Pelodiscus sinensis: one gene and its partner. The protein of the gene in region 2 binds, or shares a complex with, the protein of the main gene of each other region. Links are inferred from orthologs where the notes say so. Each region holds a gene or a part of one and is shown on either strand. Other genes may lie near its edges.

Region 1 (9,071 bases), on a different chromosome or scaffold from region 2:
TGTATTTGTTCATATACGGAGAAATGAAGTAAAAATAAATAAGAGGTGACAATCTTTCATTATAATCAGACTTTTTACCTAACAGGAATGACGACTATTAATATGATGGAAAAACGCAAAGACCTCATTCAGCACTGGGACCCAGTAATGCTAGCCTTATAAGGAAATAAAAGCAAAAGAGACAATAACTGCCCTAAAGGGTTTACAATTTTAAGACAAACAAAAAGGAGAAGTTGTGGATGCAACAAATGAGCAATGAACATGGTGAACAGCGGTCATGACTTTGCTAGTTACATGGATGCAGGTTTGTTTGTTTTAACTTTACTTTTTGAGAGTAAAGGTGCAAAGAAAAAGAGTAGAGAAAGAAAAGGAGAATAGTCTCAGCTGGTCATCTGCTTAGCCACAATTAACAAGCTGAGATTAGTAAACATCACAGCAAAAACCAGGTTTCAAAAAGAAGATAAAGAAGTGATTCTTCATATGTTATGTTGAGCATCAGGGACAGCATAGGCGAAAGCACAGAGGTTTTTAACAAGCAGCTAACTAATGGGTGATAAAGGATGGGAGCAAGCACTAGCAGAGTAAAAACATCATAATAGGCTGACATAATAGGTTACTAAATCAGTTAGATAGGAGGAGCTAAGTTAAGAGACGACTTTAAAGCAGGGGTCAGCAACCCATGGCTTGCGAGCCAAATATGGCTCACTAGGGAGCCAGATATGACTCTTTTGGAGACCCTACTCAGCCGCCTCCCAGCTCCTGCAGCAGCACTGAGCCAGAGCTGGCGCTACAGCCTTATGACCCCTACAAGACTGGAACGCCAGCACCAGCTTCCTGTGGGGGGAAAGGAGTGAGGAGGGAAAGCCCTGAGCCTCCCTTTCGGATCTTGCATGTGGGGAACAGACAGAATGAAAAATGGCTCCATGCACCATCCTTCCCCCCCGGTGCGGAACCAACGGCTGTGTGCCATTCTCTTTCCCTTAGGAAGCACTTCATGCAGGCTTCACCTGTGAATCCTGTCTAAAGACTTCCTTCCAGCACATGGGAGCAGCGGGGGGGCTATGTTACACTCAATGTGAAAGCACATAGTGCCCCCCAACCCTCATGCCCAAACCCCAAACTTCCCCTCACTCAGCCCCCCTCCCAGCTAGATACCCTGCCCCTAGCCCACTCCTGCCCCCGACCAGTAAGCCTGTCCTCAGCCCATTCCCCCACAGAACCCAACCTTGTGTCCTGCATGCCCCCACAACCCAACCTTGCACTGAGTCCATCATACACCCAAATCCTCTGCCCTGAGTCCCTCATGCACTTGCACCAAGACTCCTGCACGACCACATCCCCAGCCCCCGCCATAAGATTGACAAAAGACAGCCTGAATGCGTTCATAAAGCTGGATTTGACCAGTTATGATGTAAACTTCAAAGAAATGTGCAAAAAAATGCAGCAACGGAAGTCCCATTAAATAAAGTCCATGAGCACAAGGTTTCATTTATGCTATTAATCATTATGTCAATTATTAATAATATTAAATTGTATATTTTCTGTTATGCAAATGGGCATTCTTATCCGGCTCTTTGATGATCATTTGTTTAGAATTTTGAGACAGTTTGGCTGTTTGGTTTGAAAAGGTTGCCGACCCCTGCTTTAAAGGCACTACAAGAAGCTTTTATTTGGTGTCAAAATTAAGGGGGAGCCAATTGACAACGCAAACTAGGAATTAACATGATCAGAATGATGAACCAGAAATGCGGTCTTTAATTTGAATAGACTCAAGGCAAGCAAAAGTTGCAGCAATCAGGTCAACATGAGGACTATGATGAGAGTCTTCACTGAGCAGAGAAAAGAGACAAAAGGCTAGATTTTCAAGATCAGTGTTAAAAAAAAGGCAAGATTAAAAACATAGTGGCCCCATCAAAGATCACACCTAAACTACACTGCCTGAGTGACAGGGAGAACAGCAGTGTTGTCTATGCTGATAAAAGAAGATGGCCAGGTGAGAGAACCTGTGAGGAAAGGTTAAAAATCTCAGGTTTTGGCCATGTTTAGTTTAAAATAATGACTAAGAAGAAACAACCTGACATAGGACTGGATGAAGCAAGATACCTCATTAGCTGAGAGGAGGATCTATGATTTATCAATGTAAAGATGATACACTAAGAGCTTTACAAACATTAAAATACCCACGAGGCAAATCCTTTTTATGAGCAATGAAAGGAGAGCACGCAGCATCCCTGTTTCTGCACTGGGAAATGGGAAACGGGAAACCAAGCCGTCTTGACTCTCAAGGTTTACCTCCCATTTTTCTACCATTAAAATGTGTGAAACTGCATCTTGACACCATGCTATAAGTCGAACCTCTGTAATCTGGGATTCCCTGGTCCGGCAATATCCGTTGTCCAGCAGGACCACAGATATTCCTGTACCTGAGAGTCCCGGTGGAGGGCTGACAGCTGGGTTCCCCACAGGTGGGCTGCTTGGTGCCCTGCATCTGGACAGCCAGGCACAACCCAGCAGAGCTGGAAGCCCAGAGTGCCACAGCAGGGCTGCCCAATGGGGCCAGGAGCCCAGCACACAGGGAGCTGGGCTGACCATCATAGTAGGAAAGGAAGGAGGTGTTGGGACCAGCGAGGCTGGTGGCAAGAGGAATACTGCCAGGAGGCTGGTCCAGCAAAACCCCTCATCCAGGACTGGTCAGGTCCCGAGGGTAGCAGACCAGAGAGATCCACCCTTCATTTGCATGGCTATATCATGACATCACAATAGTGCACCAGGACAATACAATCACCTCATTGTGCCACCTCCTAAAGGCACTTTACTATATGCCACTAAAAACCCAGGACTCATCAGACAACTGACCCTGCAGCTCAAGACTTTGCTGCAAGCTTCGAACATGGTGGTTACTTTCCCACTAGCACCCATGCAATAACCCCCTCAGTCTCTGGGGAGGCAATTCACTCCTGCACCCCTGCTCCAGCCAGCACCCTGTGATTGTCAGGGCGGGGGAGGGGGGATCGCTGCGGCCATTGCCACCACAACCACCCCCCACACACACAGAGCAACGCCGCCCAGACCCACGCCTAATGCTGCGGGTGTGAAGAGGCGGAGTAGACATGAAAACAGACCCCAGCTCCGCCCACACTTTAACCCAACAGGCAGCGGCACCCCCCTGAAGCGGACAGCCCCGGCTTGGGCAACCCACACCCCGTGCCCAGCGCGCCGCAACTCCTCCCTCCCTCCCTCCCTCCCTCCAGGTCCTGCCGTGTTGGGGCAACCCTGACTCTGTCCGCCGCTCAGGCCCTCCGCTGACCCAGAGCCCTGGCAGCACCGCAGCTCTTCTCACAGCGCGCGAGCCTAGGCAAGACGCGCGCGCATTCTCCCTTCTCCCCCCGCCTCCCGCAAACGTCCGCCAACACACAGAACCGGACACTCACCCCGAACCCCAACGGTCACGCTGCTTTCGCGGGCGAGGACTCCGAACCGAGCGCCCGCCTTTGCGCATGCGCACATTGCTCCGATGGTTACCCCCCTCCCTCCCGAATGCGCAAGCGCCAACTCTGCACATGCGCGTTAGGAAATTGAAGTTTCCCCTGGTAACCACGCCCATACTGCGCCCGCTCCCAAGCGTAAAGCCAGAAATTTGTGTGGCTTAGGGTTGAACAAGAGCAATGGGGGAGCCGACAGCCTCGCTGGGCCCTGAGCAATTGGGGGGAGGGGAAGGTCGCTATCGTGGAAGAGCCGCCCCAACCATGGAACGCCCCCACCCTCAGCGCTGCCGGGGGTTCCAGCGGTGCTTTAAAGGGCCCCTTCCCCCCTCTCCCAGAGCCCGAGGGCAGTGGATGTTGGGCTCCAGAGAGAAGAGGAGCAGTAGGATGGCAGAAGACAAGGAGGAGCCTGGGGACAGGGCTCACCTGACTATCTAGGCCAGGGGTGGGCAGTAATTTTTGACGAGGCCACTCCAAGATTTTGGAAAAAGTAGTCAAGGGCCTCGCTCTTCCATGATATTAATGGAAGAGGTGCAAGGTCTGGGATGGAGGCTGGGTGCAGAAGGGAGCTTGGGGTAAGGGCTTGGGGTGCAGGAGTGAGAATGCGTAAAGGAGGTGGTTGTGACCTAATGGAGGGGACTGGGATGCAAGGTTTTAGGATGTGACCTAGGGTAGGAGTGGATTATGATCTGGTGCAGGAGATTGGGGGGGGGCAGATCTGGGAGAGAGGGTTGGCAAAGGGAGGGGCTGGGGTGCTAGAGGCAGGCTCTGGCCAGGAAACTCACAAGCCAGCAGCCAAATCTGCCTTCCTGCGGATCTTAAAATGTTTCTCTGTCAGCCAGCTTGCACCTAGCCATGTGTTTCTGTGAATAACAGCTGGAGGGGAAGGGGGGTGGTGCTTCCTGGCTGCCTGTTATTCAGACAGGCTGCTCTCATTGGCCAGTTTCTGGCCAGAAACCAGCCAATGGGATTGTGCTGGGGGCAGGGGCACTGCCTGAAGCTCACCCCTCCCTCCTTCCAAGATTACAGTTTTGCAAGGAAAAGAGGGTCAAATAGCCACATTTCTGAACAGCCTGCTGGGCAAGCAGGGGAGCTGCCTAGGTCTCCCTGGTGCCTCTGTGAGCTGGATCTGGTGGGATTGGCCGTATTTTTCCCAGGCCTGATCTAGGTGGTCACTTAGGGCACCAGGCTTTAAGGATTGCTAAACTAGATGGCAGTGATTTTTTTTCCCTTTAAACAAAGTGTCACATTGCTGGATCTTGAGGGGAGCAGCCAGATCACTGATGCACCCATAGGTGGGGGTGTTGGCCCCAAAAATGGTATAGAAGGGGGCCATGTGAGGTATTGAATATCTGATAATCCTATGTACGCTGTTCATGTGTTTGTATAATGTCTGTGTGTGCAATTATTAACATGTACTTGTGTGGACACTGAAGATTTCCCTGCATGTGGTTAAGCATTGGGCAGGGCCGAGCCTGTGGAGCCTGTGGACATGCTAATTACCTGTGGAACAATGGCTCTCAATGGGCCAAAGACACACCCAAAGAATGGGGGCTGTCACCTGAGAGCAGCCAGCAGGGAACACAGAGAGGCTGAGGACCAGGTGACCTGCTGCATACCAGAAGAGGCCAGGAAGGAGGTATAAAGAGGCCATGTGGTCGATGCCATTTTGTTCTCAGCTCAGCACTTCATCCCAGAGGCAGCACTGCAGGGATCGAAGAGCCCGGAAGACCTGTGAACCCATCCTGATCTTAGGATGTGCAATAAGAACTTTTAAACCAGCAGCTGCAACATCTCTGCTAGAGCCTGCATCGAGAACTGGGAGATTCGGTGCATGTAATGTACTGTACTTTAATAACCTTACTCTCATGCTTTTCTTTCTTATGTTAATAAACCTTTAGTTGTTAGATGCTAAAGGATTGGCCCAGTGTGATTTGTGGGTAAGGTCCAAAGGATAAATTGGCCAGAGATCTGTGGCTGATTTCTTGGAACCGGACAGAACTTGTTCGGGGTAGGTGGGATTGGGTGCTAGGACCCCCCAGCTGTGTATGAGGTCCGGGGCCATCTGGGGCATGGTTATTGCTGGGGTGTCGGAGGAGTTTTGCTTGTGAGGCTTCAGGCAGGCTGCTGAAGCGTTCTGTGGGACTGGTTTGTGGCCTGTATGGAGAGGTCACAAGTCTGGGGGCTGTAAGGAGCCCCGGATTTGAGCAATTCGCCCTGAGCAGACGCCCTCAGCTGTGCCCAGACATGGCCCGGTCCGTCACACAAAGTTGTCTCTGTGACGGGGTAAGGTCACGGAAGACCCCTTGGGTGTGCCCCCCAGAGTACTGACATGGCCACTGCCACTCACCTACCTACTCTCTGGGGCTTTTCACTGCCTGGTGCTGCTAGGCTAGCTCCACTTTTCTTCCCCCAGCCAAGGCCCTGAGCTCATATCCCTACTACCCCTCACCCCCCCATGAAGCAGTACCAACACTGAACCTATTCAGGTCCAAGGAGAGTGCAGTTTGGGGCCCAGCTTCCTGGGATACCACTCCCCCAAATGGGATCAAATCCCCAATTAATTACTTGGGTGAGCCCCCTTTAACAATGAAAGGGGGAATGTGCACATTGATTGCTCCCCCAGGTAATAATTGTTTACACTGGGCTTGATAGTAAGCAAAAGTGATTTTATTAAGTACAAGCAATAGGATTTAAGTGGTTATAAGTGAGAATAGTCAGCGCAAAAAAGATTACAAACTCAAAAGTAACAGGCGCTTAGCTAATTCTGACACAAAAATCCTCAGCACAAACTTACTATAAACTCACCTTAAAACTGTTTCTGTTCCAGGTGCACCTTCAAAACCAGGACATTTCCACTTTGCCTAGGGTCTCTGGTTCATCCTCCCTGGGTGTGTCGAGCCAGCCCAAAGACCTAGACTCCTCTTTGTCTATTCTTTTTAAAGAATTCCCTTAGGGTGCGTCTAGACTGGCAAGATTTTGCGCAACAGCGGCTGTTTTTGTGCAAAAACTTGCCAGCTATCTACACTGGCAGCTTGAATTTGCACAAGAGCACTGACTTTGTAATGTACAAAATCAGTGCTTCTTGCGCAAATACTTTCATGCTCCCGCTCGGGAAAAAGCCCTCTTGCGCAAGAATACTTGTGCAAGAGGGCCAGTGTAGACAGGGAAGAACTGTTTTGCGCAAAAAAGCCCCGATGGCTAAAATGGCGATCGGGGCTTTCTTGCGCAAAATCGTGTATAGACTGGCCATGGGTGCTTTTGCGCAAAAGCATCCGTGCCAATCTAGACGCGCTTTTGCGGAAGTACTTTTAACGGAAAAACTTTTCTGTTAAAAGTATTTCCGCAAAATCATGCCAGTCTAGACACACCCTTATTGTATGGGGAGTCATCTGGTCCCTCCCAACTATCACTACTAAGCCTTAAGGACAAAAGGCAATAGCATATGATTGCCCAGACACTGAGGCCCCACTTGATGCCTTTCCATCTACATATTTTAAAAACAAAATAGTCTCTACTCCATGTGTCTAATTTCACACACAAGAGTGATACATACACCAAAATAAACAGAACCAGCGGATTTTGACATGAAGGTTGATAGGTTACATGAAATAATTTGTTCAAAGCATCTATGAGTAAAATATATTTATGTCCAGAAGTCCATTTCATAAAGCATGGGTTGATGGTCCATCACACTCTCATAAACCAAAATATCCAATATTATATGTGTAAAACAGTGCATCATTGCCATGTCAGAAACTGAGTTATTGTTTATTTCACATTGTAAACACAGCTGTGCATGAAAATACAGATGGCAAAGCTTCAAAAGAGTGCCACCGGTGTTTGCTGCCTAGTGGTGAGGTCTGGCAGTTCAGTCATTCTCAGTAGCCCACTCCTAGGCTGTCTACACATTGGCATGATTTTGCTGCCTGTCTACACTGGCGGGGAGTTCTTGCGCAAGAACACTGATGTTCTAATGTGTGAAATCAGTGCTTCTCGCACAAGAACTATGATGCTCCCGCTCAGGAATAAGCCCTCTTGCTCAACTGTTCTTGCGCAAGAGGCCAGTGTAGACCGGCAACATGAATTTCTTGCGCAAGAAAGCCCGATGGCTACACTGGCACGGACGCTCTTGCGCAAAAGCACGTGTCTTGCGCAAAGGCACATGCCAGTGTAGACGCTCTCTTGCACAAATACTTTAACGTAAAAACTCTTGCGTTAAAAGTATTTGCGCAAAATCTTGCCAATGTAGATGTAGCCATACAGTTCATAGAGTGCTAGAACTGAAAGGGACCTCAAGAGATCAAGTCCAGTCCCCTGCCCTCATGGCAGGGCCAAGTACTGTGGAGAATAGATCATCCCTGATAGATATTTAACCTGTTCTTAAATATCTCCAGTGATGGAGATTTCATAACCTCCCTAGGCAATTTATTCCAGTGTTTAACAACCCTGACAGAAAGCTTTTCCTAATGTCTAACGTAAACCTCCCTTGCTGCAATTTAAGTCCATTGCTTCTTGTCCTATCATCGGAGAACAAGGAGAAAATTTTTTCTCTCTCCCCTTTGTAACACCCTTTTAGGTACTTGAAAACTGCTCTCATGTCTCCTCTCAGTCTTCTCTTTTCCAAACTATGCATTTCCAATTATTTCAGTCTTCCTCATAAGTCATGTTTTCTAGATCTTTATTCTTTTTTTTTTTTTTTGCTCTTTTCTGGAACTTCTCCAGTTTCTCCGCATCTTTCTTGAAATATGGAGCCCAGAACTGAACATAATACTACAATTGAGGCCTAATCAGTGCAGAGTAGAGTGGAAGAATCACTTCTCATGTCTTGCTCACAACACTCCTGTTAATGCATCCCAGCATCATGTTTGCTTTTTTTGCAACAGTATTTCACTGTTGACTCATATTTAGCTTGTGATCAACTATGACCCCTAGATCCTTTTGTATAGACTGTTGCTAGATCCTTCTTAGACTGCCGCTTCCCATTCAGTATGTGTAAAACTGATTTTTCCTTCCTAAGTGGAGTACTTCATCCTATTTACCTCAGACCATTTCTCTAGTTTGTCCAGATTATTTTGAATTATGACCCTATCCTCCAAAGCACTTGCAACCCATCCCAGCTTGGTATCATCTGCCAACTTTTAATAATCGTAGTCTCTATGCCATCATCTAAATCGTTGATGAAGATATTGAACAGAACCAGTCCCAAAACAGACCCCTGCAGAACCCCACTTGTTATGCTCTTCCAGCATGATTATGAACCATCAATAACGCTTTCAGTTGAGTCAGTGTTGATTGCTGCTTAGTGAAAGCTGGTCACTGACCCACAATAGTTCTGCCATGTTACAAGCTGTGATCCCAAAGATACTGTTCCCACAAAGAATTTGCATTGTGTTGGATTGAGTTTTAACAAGATTGTAAAAGAAGAATCACAAGTACCTGTAAGATTAAGATTATTAGTTGTGTATTTATTATAGGGCTTTATTAAAACCCTGATTTTTTAACCCTGCTAATGTTAACAAACACCACTTAACATATACAAAATGTTTAAACAGTTTTAAGTGAATATTGAAAAGATAAATACATTAA
Region 2 (9,434 bases):
TGCTTCACATATGAAACAGCTATTAGTTGCACACACATAAAATGGGAAATAACTGCTTAAAAAGGGGTAGTGCTAAAAAGGATTTGAAGCTCATAATGTAACAGAAAAAAATTTGAATCAATGTCACACTGCTGGAAAAAAAAAAAGGGGAACAGTGAAGGAGCGGAGCTTGGGGGACAGGTTCAGATACACCCTCCTGGGCTGGATAGCTATATTCTCCAGCCCATAGACAGCCCACAGGCTGTGAGTTTGAGACTCATAGTTAAGATACTGCAGTAGTACACTTCAATGTAGACACTACTTAACCAAAGGTAATCCACTTCCCTGAGCTACTGCATCTAAGTCAATGGAGGAGACATAGCTATACCCACTTGAATTCCTAGCATAGACTAGATATGTGAACACGTACCTGTGTACACCATTAACTGATGAGCCTGAGCAGCAGGGCAGGCCTGGGGAGGGTGGAAACCATTGTGCATGGGCAGCTGACTTTCAAGCCGGCTCCCGACATGTACAAGCTCCCACAGAGCCTCCTGCACTACTGCCTCTGCATGGGGAAGGAGGCAGGTGGGAGCCAGCTTTTAAATAAACATATTTTAACATCCCTTGTGTAGACCAGGCCACAGCTGACAACACTCAACTATTTATCTCATTCAGCACTGATATAGGAAAGGTTAACTGGTAAACATCACCAGGGCTCGCCAAGCAGCCGTGTGGTTCTGCGCTCTGCGCAGATCATTCTGCTCATGTGCAGATTGCTCTGCGCCGGCTCTTGCTCTGCGCTGGCTCTTCCGAGGTGTAATCTACTCACCACAGGCGAGTAGATTACATTGTTTGTTGAGCCCTGAACAGCACCCTTAACATGTGATACTTACCAGTTCTGGTTAATGGGTGGAGGCTGAAGCAGGACAGGGCCCAGTGCAGACAGTGTGCATGTGTCTAAGGCAGGGGCTGCCCCAGGAGGATTGGAGCAGTCCCAGGAGTGTTCTCATATTATAAATCAGTTACATCCGATTATCAATTACACTTTACCTTTCAAGAAGATTCTCGTTTTCTAGTTACCTTTTAGAAATACAGAACATCTCTGTGGACAACAATCAACATAGGTGTACTTCTAGACATACCTGTTTTAATGGAGAGACTATTTCCAGTATACATGGGAACTATTTTTAAGTACAGTCAATTAAACTCATTATATGGAGAAAGGAGTTTCCTGTTACTGTTACTGGGTAGTTTAACAATATACAGTTTCAGAACAAAAATTAACACTATTCCCCTCACTTGTTCACCAGTTTGTTAAGAATTTCATTTTTTTTTAAATCTACCACCATGTCCACATCCTCAATTAAAAACAACAAACCAACCATTGCAGATACTCAGAAAAGCTAAGAGTGAATACTACTACTTTTTATAAAGAAAATAATGCAACCTTCTGCGCGACTGATGTATGCTCGGATTTTAAAAATTAAGGGCCAAACTTTGGAGCCCTTTCTTACACTTGGTAGTTCTATTGAACTCACTGGATCAATGAGAAGAAGAGTAGCAGAATCACACTCCTTGTGTACATGTATGTATGTTCTCAGTGAGGTTAATATTTCATTTATACTACAGATATTATTGGGTGAAATTGAATGTCCTGTATTACACAAGTCACTGAAGGTGATCAAAAGTTCCTTTCTGGCCTTTGTTAAGATTACATAAAAGCTACTATTCAAAAAGTTTCAAATGACCTCTGCTGTAGCCAAGGCTATATCCACAATAGGAAAGCTTTATCAGCATAGAACCAATGGAATACTATACCATAAAAGTGTTCCTAATGTGGATAGAGCAAAAAAGGCAAAACCTCCGTTCCAGTAAAAGCAGTTATGCCAGTGCTGCTTCATCTTCCCTACAACATAGCTATGCCATAAGAATCTGTAGAGATCATACCTTTCAGATCTCTGACATAGTTGTGATGGCAGAGTGGTGTAAATAAGGCGTAACTTACCATAATGGTACCTACAAACAAAACACTATAAATTAAGTTTATCTCCAGGGCTCAGAAGCAGCTGACGTGCTTTTAAACCTTATCAGTACTCTTTTGAAGATACTATCATGTTCAACAGGATTTCAGCTTTTGCTTAAAAAAAAAGTCTTCAATTGCTATGGTTGCATAAAAGCCTCAAAATTTGAACAGAGAAACCACAAATGTCTGTGGGTATGTCTCAAAGGAGAGTTAACCTTTTTAGCTCCAGAATGCTTACCATATATCTGGAAAAAGACACATGGTATAGGATTGGATGTGCTAAGCCTGGACTAGCTTACATGGCTTGATTGAAACACACTCGCTTTGCAATAGGAAGAAGATTAAAAAAAACGGAAGTCACTGAAGTCTCATATATATCCTGCACATTGTACAATTGACAGGCAAAGAATCCTAGAGCATCTCAGCACAAAGACACATGAGAGATACGATCCCAGATATACACTGAAAAGTGCAGATGCAATGAGAATGTAAGTAGTGATTTGTTATGGGGATGATCACAAATTGACTCACTAGACCATCCCACATGCCAATCACTCAGGTTAACAGTGCAATGAAGACCCACTCTGTTACTCAACAATAACACCAAAATACATCACCTACCTCTGTGCGCTAGCCCCTTTATTTAACTGAAGTGTTAATGTATTATTGACAACTGTAGTAATTTGTTAACCATTTTATTTAAAGTAAGAAAGGAGAATGCTTTCACAGATCTGTAATCGCTCATTTTGATACCTTCAGTGCTTGGTATGAGAGAGCACCAATGATTACTTTGTTTTGTTCCACAGAACCAAATCTAATAAAAAACAAAGTTTAGGTGAGCCCATGGTCTTAGCTGTAATGTCTACATAAGCAACAGTGATGCTTCAAGACTTGTGCAGCTGCTCTATGCTAGCAGAAAAACTTTCCAACATGATAAAACCACTTTCACAAATGGCAGTAGCTAGGTCAGTGGGAGAAGCTCCCCTGCCAACAGTGCTGAACACTCCAGTATTTCTCTTGGTGTAACTTACATTGCTCAGTGAGTGTGTTTTTCACACCTCTGAACATCCTAAGTTAGGTTTGCTTAGTTGTAGAGTAGATATAACCAAAGTCAAAGCTCCACCAGAAAGGAGCCTAATTCAAAAAGTCCAAAGGAGCAATCATAGGATGCAGGATTGATCTATAGTGCAGCATCTACCTTTATTCTGGTTAATCACTGTGTAAAGTTTTTTATTTTACACCCAAAATCTGCCCCTACAGAGCATAGTCAATGTTAAGTAGAGTTAACAATGTTCCAGATAAGGTGGCTATAAACACCTTTGTAAATAAAATTAACTCCTTCAGTTTTCCATCCATTCAACTGGAGGCACTTCAACCACTTTAACTTTAAAATTACAAGAAGTTTCACCTTCAGTGCCTAAGAAATCTGACAAAAATAATAAGTGCCTTTGACTGGCACAAAGGAATGCCCAGAAGCCGGGTTTAAGCTACGAATAGTCGGTATCACCGTCTGCTCTTTCTTCCAGAGAATTCCCCTCTGCAACACACAAGGCGTCAGCATCGGTCAGCACGGGTCAGAAGCGGACGCACCAGACACCAGTTCGGCTCTGCTGGGAGGTCACTGGGGACGAAGTCGGGCGACTCAATTTTTCAGGATCACAGCAAGTGACCCAAGGCCAGCACGGCCACCCGGATCAGTGCCGGGCTCACTGGGCAGGAAGCGATTCCTGAGGCAGGAGTCTCACGAGGCCTCGCTGGCGCGCGATGCTCCCTAGCCCTCACCGCCGCGTCGCCATGAGCATCATCCCCCGCCTCGCGCTGCCGAAGGCCCCCCCCAAGTCCCCTCGGGGCAGAGCACCGGGACGCAGCCCTTCCGCCGCACAACAGCCAGGCCCAAGGACCTGAGACCGGGACAGAGCCCCCCACGGGGCCCGGGAACACAAGGCGGCAGGAGGGGAACACCCCCGGGACCCCGCCGCCCTTCGTCCGCACCGGGTCAGGGTTCTCGCTCGCTCGCCCGCCCTCCTCCGCCACGTCCTGTCACTGCCCGCCATCTCCTTGCCGGTTCGCGCGCCTGGCCCTCGGATGCCCTACCTAGGCCGGCTCCGCTCACTCGCTATCGCCCGCCTGCGCGAGCGCTTCGATCTCTAGTAGCGCAACCTCCCTCCTCGCCCGCTAGTGCCCCAGAAACATTCCCGGCACCCCCCGCGCACATCGCTCGCTGTCACGTGGCGACTATAGCACCGCCCCTTCTCCCCCCGCCACTCTTGACTCGCCTCAACTCTGCCCCCTTCACGCCCACTCACTCACTTCCGCTCCACTTCTCCCTCCCCCTCCCACACCCACTCCGCAACTTCCTTTCCTTCAACGGCATCTCCTTCCGGGTTCTCCAGCCGCGCGGTGCATTGTGGAGAGCAACCTCTTTCCACCCCCCCTTCAACCCACCGAGCCCCCTTGGGGCGCACGCGCAGTAGCAGCCTCCCATCTTTCTCCCAGCCAGAGCTAGAGCCTCAGCAGCAGCAGCAGTAGCAGCAGCTGATGATGAAGAGAGAGGGGGAGACTGGGGGACCTTTTATTTATATTGTTAAAGGGACAGAGCACTAATTCCATCTTGAATTGGTGTGTGGGGAAGGGGAAGGGTTGGTGTGAGGCGCCTGAGTTTCTCCCCAACCCAGCCCAGCTAGAAGATCCCAGGGAGACACAGGGAGAGAAGGAGAGTTTCTTCCCCCCCCCCCCCCCCCCGCCCGTCAGAGGAGAGAGAAAGAGACCAAAAGCCTCTTAGCAACACGGTCCCTTCTCTCTCTGCTGCTGCTGCTTGGCCCTGGCTGGAGACACCTCACCACACACACAGAGGAGCAGCAGCCAGTTCACCAGCTCCCCCACCCCCTGCTCTCCCCTCCTCCCCCTTTATTACCCTTTGTGTGTGTCTCTTTCTCCACTGCTCCAGGGAAGGGAATAAAAGTGGGGTGCAGCCAAGGTAAGTGTGTTTGTGTGTGGGCAAGCAATACCTCCTCCCACCTCTGCTTCTCTAGGGCAGGCAGGTTTGGGGGCTGGGGTTGGGGAAAGTGTTTGTTTTCCATCTTTTAGTTTTGATGATAGATAGTTTGATTGTTTACTGGTTTGGCAAAGTGGCTTATTTTTCATGTTCCAAATGATAGACTTCAGTTTTGTGTATTACTCTAATCCTCCTACTCCTGTTTGGGAAGAAGATATTACAGTGCTCATATCTGTCACTTTTTACTCACTGTTTGAGGAAGTGGAAACCTTTCTCCATGTCCTACCTCAGTTGTATTTATTTTTCAGTGTATGAGGAAATGTCATGGTAGATGATGATCCAGCATTGCTAATGGTACTCTCAAGTGTGTTCCAACATCTCCCTCTTTTTAGAGCTGCTTTAGATTTGGGGATTTGCTGTTTCTGGGAGCAGTATTTGTCTCTTGGTTTTCTTTGGTATTTGTCTTTTGAACAAATAGTTTTCTGTGTAAAGAGATAGGTGAAGTATTAAAAGGGGGTTGGGTCAAGATTTGTTTTTATATGTGACTTCTTTCTAAAGTGCTTGTATTTCCTGTGTCAAAATAGGAAATTCAAAAGACAAAAATATTAATATGGTGGTGAAAATTCTTTGGAATTTTTTATCTGTCTTTGTTTTGTATAGATGCATGTTGCTGCTGTTAATAATATAAATAACTAAACTTAGTTATATAATCATTAAGGCCCTGATCCTGTAAAGCTCTATGCACCTGCTTAACTTTAAGCATCTAAGTAATCTTAATATAGGTCTACTCTAATATGTAAATATTAGCAGGATCAGGGCATATGCAATGTCATCTATATACTTAGAATAAGGAATTAGTTCTTCTTAAATATTTTACATTAATTTTTTGTCATGATTTGCTGATAGGAAGGCCAAATCTCTTTAGCAGAATATGTACTGCACTAAATAGTTGTCTGGGTTAGGTACCACTTTCAGTTTTAACTAACTAGTTTCTTCATTATTGTAAAATTCACATGCCAAAAATATCTACTTAATTTGATAATTAAACTTATATTTTCAGGAAAGCATCCGAAAAGTCTTTTAGAGTCATAGGAATCCAGAAGAAAGTTTGAGTTAATGATAAATTGGTTTTATATTTCAATGTCATCTCTTTTACAAGGGCATTTGTTTTAAAAAATAATGTTGCCTGTGAATGATTTCTGTGTTGTATTTGTTTGGTCATGTAATTCTCTTTTTAAAAAGAAAGCTGTGTGCTATTAATTTAGTAAATAATGCAAGCTATTTCTAAACTGTGAGGTAGGCCAGAGATTGTGCTTTTCAATGGGGCATCTCAGCAAAATGGGATTCAGCTTGCTACATGTACATCTTTATCCAGTACTTGAAGAGGAATGCACAAATCCCTTCACTTGTAAATGCTTCAGTATTTCTGATCCCATAATTTGCATCAGCAGAAAATATTTTATGCAAAGCATCAATTTCATGATCAAGCTGGCAATATGAAAACAGCAATTTGATAAGGTTGGAAAGGATTGGAGAAAAACAAATGTAGAAGAATACTTGAAAAATATTGTGAAAAGAGGTTGGAGTAGCAAATCTTAGTATAGTTCTGTAGAATTGTCTTCCTGTTAGTTTTCTGTTTAGCTTGTGAAGGCAAAACAACTTGCTGTATTCAGAATTATTTAAAAAATCCAATTTGTAAAGTAAAATTTCTTTTAGAGATCAGCAAATATGTATAGGAACCCATTCTTGAAAACTGCAGTTGTCTTTTTATTTTACTACAAGCAACACTAGAGACACATAGCTAAAAGCTTATCCAGGAATAATCTTTTTTTCCTGTTTCATACCAACCTTTTATAATGTGATTAATTCTTTTCTTACTCTGAGGTACCATTGATATGTTTAATCTGCACATACAAACCTATGCTATGTTCAAGTTTAGGCCCTCAATGTCAGTCCTATTTCAACTCCATCTGCAATTTATCCTGCAAATCCAGAATACAAAGAGAGAAATTTGTTATTTATTACATAGGGCAAATGCTCAATTTATTGGTTTAATGTTAAAATCTGTAAACTACATTTTTAAACTGGTTGCTCAGTAAAAAATTGAGCCAAATTTCTAACATCATAGTTTTTGGAAGGTTTTGGTTTGTTAACCCAGTATCTTTACAAATTTTTCTCTATAGGGAGGAACTGCGTTTGAGATCATAGATTTCTTAGGCCCTGATTCTACAGTCAGGTCTGTGCTAGCAGACCATCACTGACTTCACTGAGGCTTATCTTGGGGAATATAGGTCCAAGCCTTAGATGATAATCCAGTCAGAGCAGGGACAGTCTATTTCTGTGATGTATAGTGCACTATACTGCAAAGAGGCCTTAATTGTAATAGAGGTCCTTAGGATGCTGCCATAATATACAATATTAAATAATTTGCTAAAAACTGCATCAACTGGAATTATGGGAAACTGTTAGTAATCAACAATTATTACTAAGTAGCATTTTTTTGTTCTGTGTTTAAGTAATTATTCTAGTATCATAAGCAAGTATTAAAGATTTTTGGTTTCTTTTTAGGCATTTAGGAACATTTCTGTATTTTTCCCTGTTGAAAACTAGATCATTTGTATACGCAACATTTATTTATGTCTCTTGTTCATTTTTTTTTTTTTTACCAAAAATGTGTGTTTGTAGAGTTAGATTTGAATGATCAGGAAGCTACAATAACTATGTAGGCTACACTAGATTTACAAACCAAAAACATTTAAAGATCTTGTTCAGGTCAGATCTATATGTTGGTATTTTTAAATTCAAAATTATCAGTTTCTTCTGGTGTTAACTTGGTGATTAGTTTGTTTATTTGCTAGTTATTTTACATAAGCATGTGATCTTTATTTTAGTTAGATTTAAATATTTTTGTAAAGGAGTATTGTTCACCTTTAACCAAAACGTGTTCCTTTCTATGGTCCTGACCCTTGTCTTTTTATTGGGAAGCTAGTATTCTGATCTATCAGAAAATTGAAAATTGATCTATCTAGGAAAATTGAACCTTTGTGGTATCATTAACAACTTTACTAACAAAAAACTGTCTTGTTTTTCACTGAGGCTTGTAGTTACTATTCTGTCAGTAAGACTTTTTCACAATTTTCTTCACAGTGATTTTATTTAAGGGAGATCAGCATTCAGGAACTAGTTGATTGAACACAGCCAGTGATGACAATGTTAGCTTGTGGATCAGCAATGAATTCTTGAGACACACCTCACTCCTTCAGACTACTCTTTGGTGGTAGAACCTTTTGACCACAAGGAGTTCCATTCTTGACAGTAGGGCTTCTTGCAGTGTAAAAGCCCACATGTGCAGAGCAGTTCTCAGAGTAAGGGCTTTAATTTCAAAAATGCATATATCATTTCCAAAGTGACTTAAACACTTAAGTCAACAATCTCATTGATTTTTCAATGAGACTTAGGAGATAAGAACTTTGGTCGCTTGAAAATTGAGACTTGGGCCCACAATCATTGAGGTGCTTTTGAAAATGTATTCCATGGTTTGGGTTCCATTGAAATCAGTTTTGGCACTCCTTTCAATGGGAGTAAAACATGATGCAGAGTAGAGAGCCATCTTTACTTTTCAATTGTTAGTGCCTGTAAATATTTTTAAACTATAATTTTACTCATACAGTTTCCAGTAAGGTTCATTTAATCTGTATAACAGCGATCACCAATCAGTGGATGGGGATCTACTGGTAGATCTTGGAGCCTCTGACTGGTTAGGCCAAGAAGCTGTCAAGGGCTGGCACGTCCACTACCCCTCCCCCACTGCTGTGAAAGTCCTGCCCTTTGCCTTGGAGCTGTTCCCCTCTCCCGCTCCATATTCTATCGCCACAGAACAGGGGAGGAGGGCACAACAGGGTTTGGGATGGAGGGAATTGCTGGCTGCTTTTAGGAGTCGTACAAGGCCAGGGTAGGGGTGAGCCTGCCTTAGCCCCACTGTACCACCTCACAGGAGCCACCTGCGGTAAGCAGTGTCCAGCTGGATTCTGCACCCTGAATCCCTGTCCCAGTCATGAACCCTCTCCTGCACCCCAAGCCCCTGCCTTAACCCTGAGCCCCCCCAAGACCCAGACTCCCTTACAGAGCCTTACCCTGAACCACCTATGGCACACCAACCAGTGCCCCAGGCTCAGCTCAGAGCCCTTCTCACACTCCAAATCCCATAGCCCAAAACCAAAGACTGTGCCCCAAACCCTCTCTCCCTTCTGATGACAGGGAGGAAGGATGGAGTGAGCAGGGACGGGGCCTTTGAGAAGTGTCACGAAGGAAGTGGGGCAAAGGTATTTGGGTTTGAGGTAGATCCTGGATTGCACTTAAATTCAAAAAGTGATCTCATACTTTAAAAGGTTGGAGACTACTGCCATATAAGAACCAAAATACACATTAGGTATT

The links.
Region 1: the proteins of ORC4 (region 2) and ORC5 are in contact, whole or in part, in a cryo-EM structure (PDB 7JPO), measured with the Homo sapiens proteins. The link is inferred for Pelodiscus sinensis from reciprocal best matches to the Homo sapiens genes ORC4 and ORC5. Residues at the interface, in NP_001177808.1 of Homo sapiens: Ser18, Gln21, Arg22, Arg25, Glu26, Cys29, Arg30, Gln31, Arg69, Thr74, Asn100, Leu102, Leu103, Gln104, Ile105, Ile109, Glu113, Arg116, Asp162, Arg277, Met281, Met284, Leu285, Asn288, Met311, Asp312, Ser313, Lys314, Asn316, Ile317; in NP_002544.1 of Homo sapiens: Ile17, Ser20, Leu21, Phe22, Gly23, Glu24, His26, His27, Phe28, Ser29, Phe30, Pro31, Tyr36, Gly37, His38, Thr39, Thr98, Phe99, Asn100, Val103, Arg104, Arg131, Glu134, Asn136, Pro139, Gly140, Arg143, Gln145, Glu146, Leu147.

Annotation. Positions count from the first base shown.
Region 1 is NC_134711.1:24,345,647-24,354,717, forward strand, and holds the start of ORC5 (origin recognition complex subunit 5), read right to left. Parts: upstream 3,562-9,071; 5' UTR 3,432-3,561; intron 3,397-3,431; exon of another isoform or gene 3,308-3,396; intron 1-3,307. UniProt on the Homo sapiens protein: Component of the origin recognition complex (ORC) that binds origins of replication. DNA-binding is ATP-dependent. The specific DNA sequences that define origins of replication have not been identified yet.
Region 2 is NC_134717.1:25,682,892-25,692,325, forward strand, and holds the start of ORC4 (origin recognition complex subunit 4), read right to left. Parts: upstream 4,250-9,434; 5' UTR 4,100-4,249; intron 4,090-4,099; exon of another isoform or gene 3,414-4,089; intron 1-3,413. UniProt on the Homo sapiens protein: Component of the origin recognition complex (ORC) that binds origins of replication. DNA-binding is ATP-dependent. The specific DNA sequences that define origins of replication have not been identified yet.